Rattus norvegicus: one gene and its partner. The protein of the gene in region 2 purifies or fractionates together with the protein of the main gene of each other region. This does not show direct contact. Links are inferred from orthologs where the notes say so. Each region holds a gene or a part of one and is shown on either strand. Other genes may lie near its edges.

Region 1 (3,996 bases), on a different chromosome or scaffold from region 2:
AGGCCAGAGGCAGCAGAATCCTTACTCTGGGACACCTGGTCAGACTCCAGAGTGAGGGAAGAACCCTGACTATTCCCGTTCCCGCCTACTATCCCTCGGGCTTTCCAGTAGAAAGGACTGACCAGAAAGCTCCCCTCCCCAAGGGTTTTTACTTAATATTTAGCTCAGGCCTGGAGAGTAGAAGAATCCGCTAGGTCTGGCCCTCACCTCCAGCCTCTCTCCAAGGCGAAGAACTCTCCACCCCAAGGCACCACCAGACCATCCCAGGGGAAGTCTGCTTCCCAGTGAAACGCAAACTCCCCAAAAGGAATCCCTGCCCACGGCGTGCGCCCCTCGACCCCTTCTTTCGGTTCCGGGAGCCCGAACGGGCATCCCTCCACGCCAGGAGCCTCCCCAGGGGGTACCTGCTTCTCACCTTAGCCGCAGTCTCCTCAGGAGGGTGACCCCAGGACCTCCTTCAGTCAAGATCCCCTAAAGGGGAACACCCTCTTCCAGGAACCGCTTTCAGGCGCCTCCAGCGCGGGCCTCGGAGGAGAGCGTTCCGGCTGCTTCCCAGGCTCTGACCAACGCCACCCTCTCCAAGACCACTGCCCGGAGACGGCCACGGCCCCAGTCCAGTCTCTCCGACCCAGGCTCCAGCGGCTGTTCTCTTCCCTCACAGGCGTCGCTAGCCCTCAAGCACCCTCCCCGGCCACGTCCCCAAGGGGCTTCCCAGAGCAGCACGGTCGGGCTATGGCACTGACTTTCACTAGCTCCGGGGCCCACCGGAGGGAGGGGACAGCGACAGCGGCGCGACTCCTTTGTGACAGGTCCAAGAGAGCGGTAAAGATGGACGCGAGGACACGGCACTGCCATTACGCGCAGGGCCCACCCCCGCTTCGCACCGCCCGGGCCCTCCCTCAGTCCCCTAGGAAACGCCCCTTCCTCGGTGGCAAGCCCTCTCTCTCAGACAGCCAATCATCGTTCAAGGCTCGTGTCACGTGATCTCGCGGTTCTGCCCGCCACCCTGGAATGAACTGGTTAATCCTTTTGCCGAAGGGTGAACGGCCCAATCAGATCTCTCCATACGGTCTCGAAGCACCGGATTTCCACGAGGCGCTCGGGGAGGGAGAGAGCTGTTGATTGGACGATGCCGCCGGAAGCGGGGTGCAAATGTGTTGTGGCTGTAAGGAACAGGAAGCCCCGAAGGGTCAAAAGGAATACAAAAGCAAAGTCTGTTTGCCTCCTTTAAGCCGTTGTTCTTTCTTGGTTTCTTTTCTATTTTTTTAAGAGCGAGTGGCCTAGGCGGCGACGGTTTGCGTTAGGCGCCGCGGAGGTGAGGGAGGCCCGCCTCCCGCGCTCTGGTAGGTGAGTGTGGCCTGGGTCCGCGCCGGGAGGCGAAACCAGGCTTCTCGGCCGAGGAGAGGGTGAACTACAGCCAGAGTTAGGATTAGGGCCCAGGTTTGTCTTCAGTCCTTGGTCCTTGCTAGTGCCCGGTGTCCTGAGTCGCCCGGCTTGGGAGTTCGCGGTGCCCACCCCGAGCGGAACCGCGGGAGTCTGCGAGATGGCGTGTTGGTCGTGGTGGGAGGTTCCGACACTTTCTTAACGCGCCAGAACTGCCGGGCCTCTTGTCTTCTTTCAGCACTGTTCTGTTAGCTTGGAGCCATCAGGCCTAAAGTGAGCTGCTGCTTCTGTTCCACTAGGAACAGCTCCTCTCGCCTTAGAAAACGTGGAATGCCCGATTGAAACTCGTTGAATCCCGGAGCGTAGTTGCAGGATGGGTACATCACAAGTTTCCCAGTTGCAGTGCCTCGCTCATTCTCTTCTAATAGGAAGCAAGGCTGTGTACCTGTTTTATTAGAACACGACCGGTGGTTGAAATGTCTTGAGAGTTGGTGCCCTCAATGCCAATCCACGCAGAGGGGAAAAGGGAGAACTATTGTTCGTGGGAGTGCTTCTTGGAGGACCACAAGATCTGTGGCCCTTAGTTTTAAAATGCAAACCCTGTGCTGCATCCTTCAGGTAGTCTGATTGTTATGTCTAAAGTGGAACCCACAAAGTCTAATATGAGCCTGTTTAGGATTTACAGCGATTTCTTGAGTGTCAAGCTGTGAGGCAAGTTTCGTGGGTTAATTGATTTATTGATGCGTCCCCAGAGACATAAAATAGTTTGGTGGAGCTCAGTGTAGTGACTTGTAATCCTAGGACCACAGAGGCGGGGTGTGTGTGTGTGTGTGTAGGGGATGGATGTCAGCTTCCATAGCAAGACTGCTAGAAAAGAAAGCAGAATAACTTACAAGCCAAACTGGCTTCTGAAATATTTGAAAGCAATCTGTAGAGCTTTCTACGACAGAAGGAACTGAGTTGAAATAAAGGCAGCTCCTTTGTTTCTGTTGGAGCCTAAGATGAGCTATGAATCTGAAAAGTCGGATGGCCCAATTATCTTTGAAGTCGAAGTCTTAATACCTTTAAGAGGAAATTCTTTCTGGTTTTTAAAAAGGAAGAATTATGCGAAGGCCATTTACCTGGTTTCATTCTTCATTGTGACCAAACGTTTGCTTAGAGACAGTCTTCAACTGCAGAAACTGAAAGCCACCCATACTTTGACGGTGAAGTAATTTAGCAGCATGATTCAACTGTGAACTTGGATATAGTGTAATAAGCTTGTATGGCAGCAGGATTAATCCGTTTCAATGTGTTCGCCTTTTTGACGTCTTCGTTCTTGAACGTGAGTGTTTCACCTTTGTTTCGCAGTTTCAGTTATGATGCTCTAACTCATGAGTTGTTTTTTGTTTTTTTTCAGTTGTCTTGGTATTTGAATTTTTTGATTGTTGTTTTCAGACAGTCTCTTGTAGCCAGTCTGGCCTTGGGTTTGATGTGTATGGAAAAGGAACCTTAAGCACCTGTTTTGTTTTGTTTCTCTCAGGTGTTCAAATTACAGGTGTACACTACATATGACAATATTAATTAGCCTTTTGACGTTGGAATAGTGATTCATTTTGGAAAATTCTAGTAACATATATTGATACATTTGACTGCTTCCACACACATTTTACATTTTCATTTTCACTCTGTCTCCAGCTGTTTTTGTTTGCTTGCTTTTTTTTTTTTTTTTTTTTTTTTTTTTTTTTTTTTTTGAGGCAGGGTCTTGCTATGTAGCCTAAGGTGTTCTAGAACCTTAGATTCCTAAGATTTTTTTTGGCTCTGCCTCTTTGCAGACTGGGCAGTTTTGTTCATTGATTCTCTTCTATTCCAACTCTTTTATTAAACAGTCATCTTTGGTGGGGAGGTGTTTGTTTTTTGAGACAGGATCTCTCTATTTAGCCCTGGCTCTCCTGGAACTGGCTATATAAACCAGGCTGACCTGGAACTCATAGAGATCCGCCTGCCTCTGCCTCCCCAGTTTTGGGAATAAAGGTGTGCTCCACTGTGTCTCCTCCTAAACACTGACATCTTAAATTCAATTATTGCAGGTCTTATTCCTGAAGTTTTTGTTTACTTTTTTCTAAAGATAAAAGTACATTGTAGCTTTCCTTCAGAAGAGGGCATCAGATCTTATTACAGATGGTTATGAGCCACCGTGTGGGATTTGAACTCAGGACCTCCAGAAGAGCAGTAAGTGCTCTTAACCAATAATTCATCTCTTCAGCCCTTTTATTTATATGAGTACTCTGTAGCTGTCTTCAGACACACCAAAAGAGAGCTATCAAATCCCATTATAGATGGTTGTGAGCCACCATGTGGGATTTGAACTCAGGACCTCTGGAAGAGCAGTAAGTGCACTTAACCACTGAGCCATCTCTTCAGCCCCTTGTTTACTTTTATAACTTTAAAAAAAGTTTTATATTTTTTGCTGTTAATTTCAAGGCTTGATTTTTATTTTAAACATTGTAAGTATATTTGTTGTGTGATCCATGTATTTAATTCCCATAGATTTGTTTTTCTTATCCATTATTCCCAAGGTTTTCTTATCTCCCTTCCCTTTCAAGGTATAGTTCTTGGGTACCAGTTTATGAT
Region 2 (3,500 bases):
AAAATAATGAAACCAAGCCTGGCATGGTGGCAGAGGCCTTCAATCCCGGCATTCCAAAAGCCAATCTCTTGGAGCTCAAGGCCAGCCTTGTCTGCACAGTGAGCTCCAGAATGGCCAGGGCTATGCAAAGACCCTGCTGTCTCAAGACCCCACCTATTTTAAGAGAAAATATGAAGCTGAGTCTGATGGCATAGTTTAATATTACTAGCTACTCAAAAGACTGAGGCAGCAGGATTACAAGTTGAAGGCCGGTCTAGGCTACAAAGTGAGTTCAAAGCCAAACCAAGCAACTTTGTAAGTAAGATAATGTCTCACAATAAGAAGAGGGCTGAGGCTTGGTACCTAACGCAGTGATAAAGCACTCACCATACTTGAGGCCCTGTGTTCAAACTCTGGTGCCACAAAAAAACAAAATAAAACTCTCCCTTTACTACCACTTCAAGGAATTAGAAGGGGAAAAATAAAAGTGCTTCAATAGAAAGACATTTTTAATAAATCACTTTAGAACAATCTTTAAATTATAGTATCTTCACCTTAAGATAATTATAAAGACCCAAATATATATGAAAGCATGGTCATGCACACCTACACTCCCCAACACTTGGGAAGTGGAGACACGAAGATCAGGAGCTCAAGGCCATAAAGAATTGAGGCCATCCTGAGCCATATGAAATCCTTTCTGAAACAGAAACATTAATTACAAAGACCCACTCATGCTGTAAGGTTGGTTTCCTAGCACGGAGGAAACATCTATTATAAAGCACCTTGTACAGGGATAGACCACACAATGGTACAACAAAGTCTCCAACTGGTAACTTTCAACTATGCAGAGAGACCATCTTCCCAGCTCCAGAGCCAAGACAGAAAGGTAAGACAGCAAACAGCAAGAAAAACAGCAACCACAGATAACCAGATTTACACAATTTGATTTGGAAATTTAATATAAATTTTCATTTGAAAATGTCAGTTTGTCTAAGGAAATTTTTACCACTCTCCAAAAATTTTAAAACAAAAGCAAACAAAAGGAGCAATTGGAGCTAAACCACAAACACAAAAGTCTGACCCAAAAAACATTGCAACTGTTGGTAGATCAGGCATTGGTTCAGATTTCCCCTGTGTACCGTGCCACTCACAACAGCCTGGTATCACTTGACACTTCACAGGGAGGAAACTAAGCTTCTCCACAGTCCAGTAAAAGGGACCCTGTCACTCTAACCTCATCAAAGGGCCTCTTGGGCTAATGAGATGGCTCAGCAGGTAAAAAGCACTTGCCACAAGTTTAGATGACCTGAGTGTGATCCCCAGAACCCACATAAAGAGAGTACTGACTCCATAAGTTGTCCTCTAACCACATGTGTGGCACATGTGTACCTGCCCACATAAATAAATGTAAGAAGTTAAAATGATTTAGAGACTTTCTATCAGTTCCAGCATGTTGAAAGGTGTGACTTCCACTCAGTCTTTCCACCTGCTTAGAGGGCTCTGTATACTTCAATATCACCTTTTCCCAGGACCTGCCCAAGCTTCCACTGCTTTCTGCCTGCCCACAACTCCCAGATCCTCTTAGGATATTCATAACCTTTTGTATTTAGATCATTGCAAATTCTCATATAGTTAGAAGTAACAAAGAGTTCCCATATATCCTTGGTCTGGTTTCTCCAAAGTAACACCTGATGTGACCACAGTTCAATATTACCTACACTAGTAGCCTTTAGCTGAGTATTTTTTTACTTCCTTACATTGCTATTAACATAGTTTTATAGTTGTTTATTGTCTGTGGGTATCTAATAAATAAATCCTTACAACCAAGAGTTTTTATCTAAATTTGTTCACTTAATTCTTTATCCAATTATATAAAAAATCTTTTTCTAAAGCCAACCAGACACAGTGGCACAGTCCTTTAATCTCAGCACTCAAGAAGCATAGGCAGGTGGATCTCTGTGAGTTCAAGGTCAGCCTGGTCTACAAAATGAGTTCCAAGACGGCCAGGGCTACATAGAAAAACCCTCTCTCAAACGCCACCCCCACACTGAATATATAGGTAGAAGTAACATGAATATATAGGCATATGCTGCTGACTAAGCAACATCACTAGAATGCACTGTTGCCTCCCTCAACGATGGAAATAGCTCTCTGAAAGGCCCATTTGTTTTCCAGTCTGAAACAAGAAAAACCTAACACTCACCCATGGTGACATAAGGCAGTTTATCAGTTGATCCATGCGGATAGATGCTGTAGAGATGAGGTCCAGTAACATCGACTCCCCCCAAAACTAGGGCTGCACCAATGTAACCTTGATACCTGGTGGTCAGAATAGACACAAGGGAAGAATTGAGTCCCGAGTCACTGTAGCTTATGCAAAAAGCTGCAGAAGTCAGACAAGGGTTTCCTTACATGTTTCACTAAGGAATTATTGCCTGCATAGGAACCAGGCAGGGAATTACAATCAGTTGAACGTCTACAATTAGCTACTGCAAACTGTGTGCAGTATACCACATGACTCACTTGAGATCTGACACACAGCCATCTTTTTAAAAGCACTATCAGTCCCATTTTAATAAAAAGGGGGTGGGGGGATAAAACAAAAGAAACACAAGACAAAAAGCTTAGAGACATAGAGAACTTGCTATTTCAAAGACTATCAGCACTGGATAATAAGCTACCAAGCTAGTGAATAGTGAGGAGCTGCTAAATTCAAGCCATACAGCTCTTCTAACAAGCAGTCTCAACACACAGTGGTTCATGTCACAACACCCTTTCCCTCTGAATAAACCCACCACATAATAATCACAGATGCTATTAAGTAAAACAGAAAACTGTTGCATCCTTCAGGACATGCGGAGCTCCATCATGACCTATGAAGCTGCTGTAACCAACAGAATAAGGTGTTGAGGAGCACAAACAAGAATGTTTCCCTCCATCTTCCCACCATGGAATATGCACTCAGGTCTTGGACATTTGTTGAACTCTTTACCTAGCTGGTGATCATTTCTATAGATCCCCGTCTCTAGATTGGCTCAGTTTTTCACCAAGACAAACTGCTTGGCTAAGATAAAACTGAACATGTTGGATTTAAAGTTTTCCACTCTAAACTTTTAGCTCTTTAAAAAGAAAACTGAAACCAACACAAACTTACTTGCCATGCCATGCACTAAAACACAAATGTAAGAGCAAAGCCATCAATCTGACTGGGAAGAGCTACACGACATCCAGAAGCACAACTGTGGCATCCAGGCACCAACTGCTGATAATTTTCCATGTTTAAAGTGAAAAACTCAAGAATTTTAGGAGCAACATGATGAGAAGCCAGAGATGGCTCAGCAGATAAGGTGCTTGCTGCCAAGCCTGATGAGTTGAGGTCCAATCCCCAAGACGTACATGGTGGAAAGGGAGAATCAACTCTTCTGTTATCCTCTGACTTCTCCACATGTGCATCACCACCACCACCACCAACACCAACAGACGCACTGATGCTCCTCTCTCTCTCTCTCTCTCTCTCT

Evidence for each region.
Region 1: the proteins of Psmb7 (region 2) and Psme3ip1 purify together in Homo sapiens (co-immunoprecipitation; 3 studies listed by BioGRID and IntAct, with this or other methods). This does not show direct contact. The link is inferred for Rattus norvegicus from reciprocal best matches to the Homo sapiens genes PSMB7 and PSME3IP1.

Annotation. Positions count from the first base shown.
Region 1 is NC_086037.1:10,406,356-10,410,351, forward strand, and holds the start of Psme3ip1 (PSME3-interacting protein), read left to right. Parts: upstream 1-1,196; 5' UTR 1,197-1,347; exon of another isoform or gene 1,348-1,656; intron 1,657-2,504; exon of another isoform or gene 2,505-2,707; intron 2,708-2,769; exon of another isoform or gene 2,770-3,996. UniProt on the Homo sapiens protein: Promotes the association of the proteasome activator complex subunit PSME3 with the 20S proteasome and regulates its activity.
Region 2 is NC_086021.1:42,813,971-42,817,470, forward strand, and holds part of Psmb7 (proteasome subunit beta type-7), read right to left. Parts: intron 2,302-3,500; coding exon 2,186-2,301; intron 1-2,185. UniProt on the Homo sapiens protein: Component of the 20S core proteasome complex involved in the proteolytic degradation of most intracellular proteins. This complex plays numerous essential roles within the cell by associating with different regulatory particles.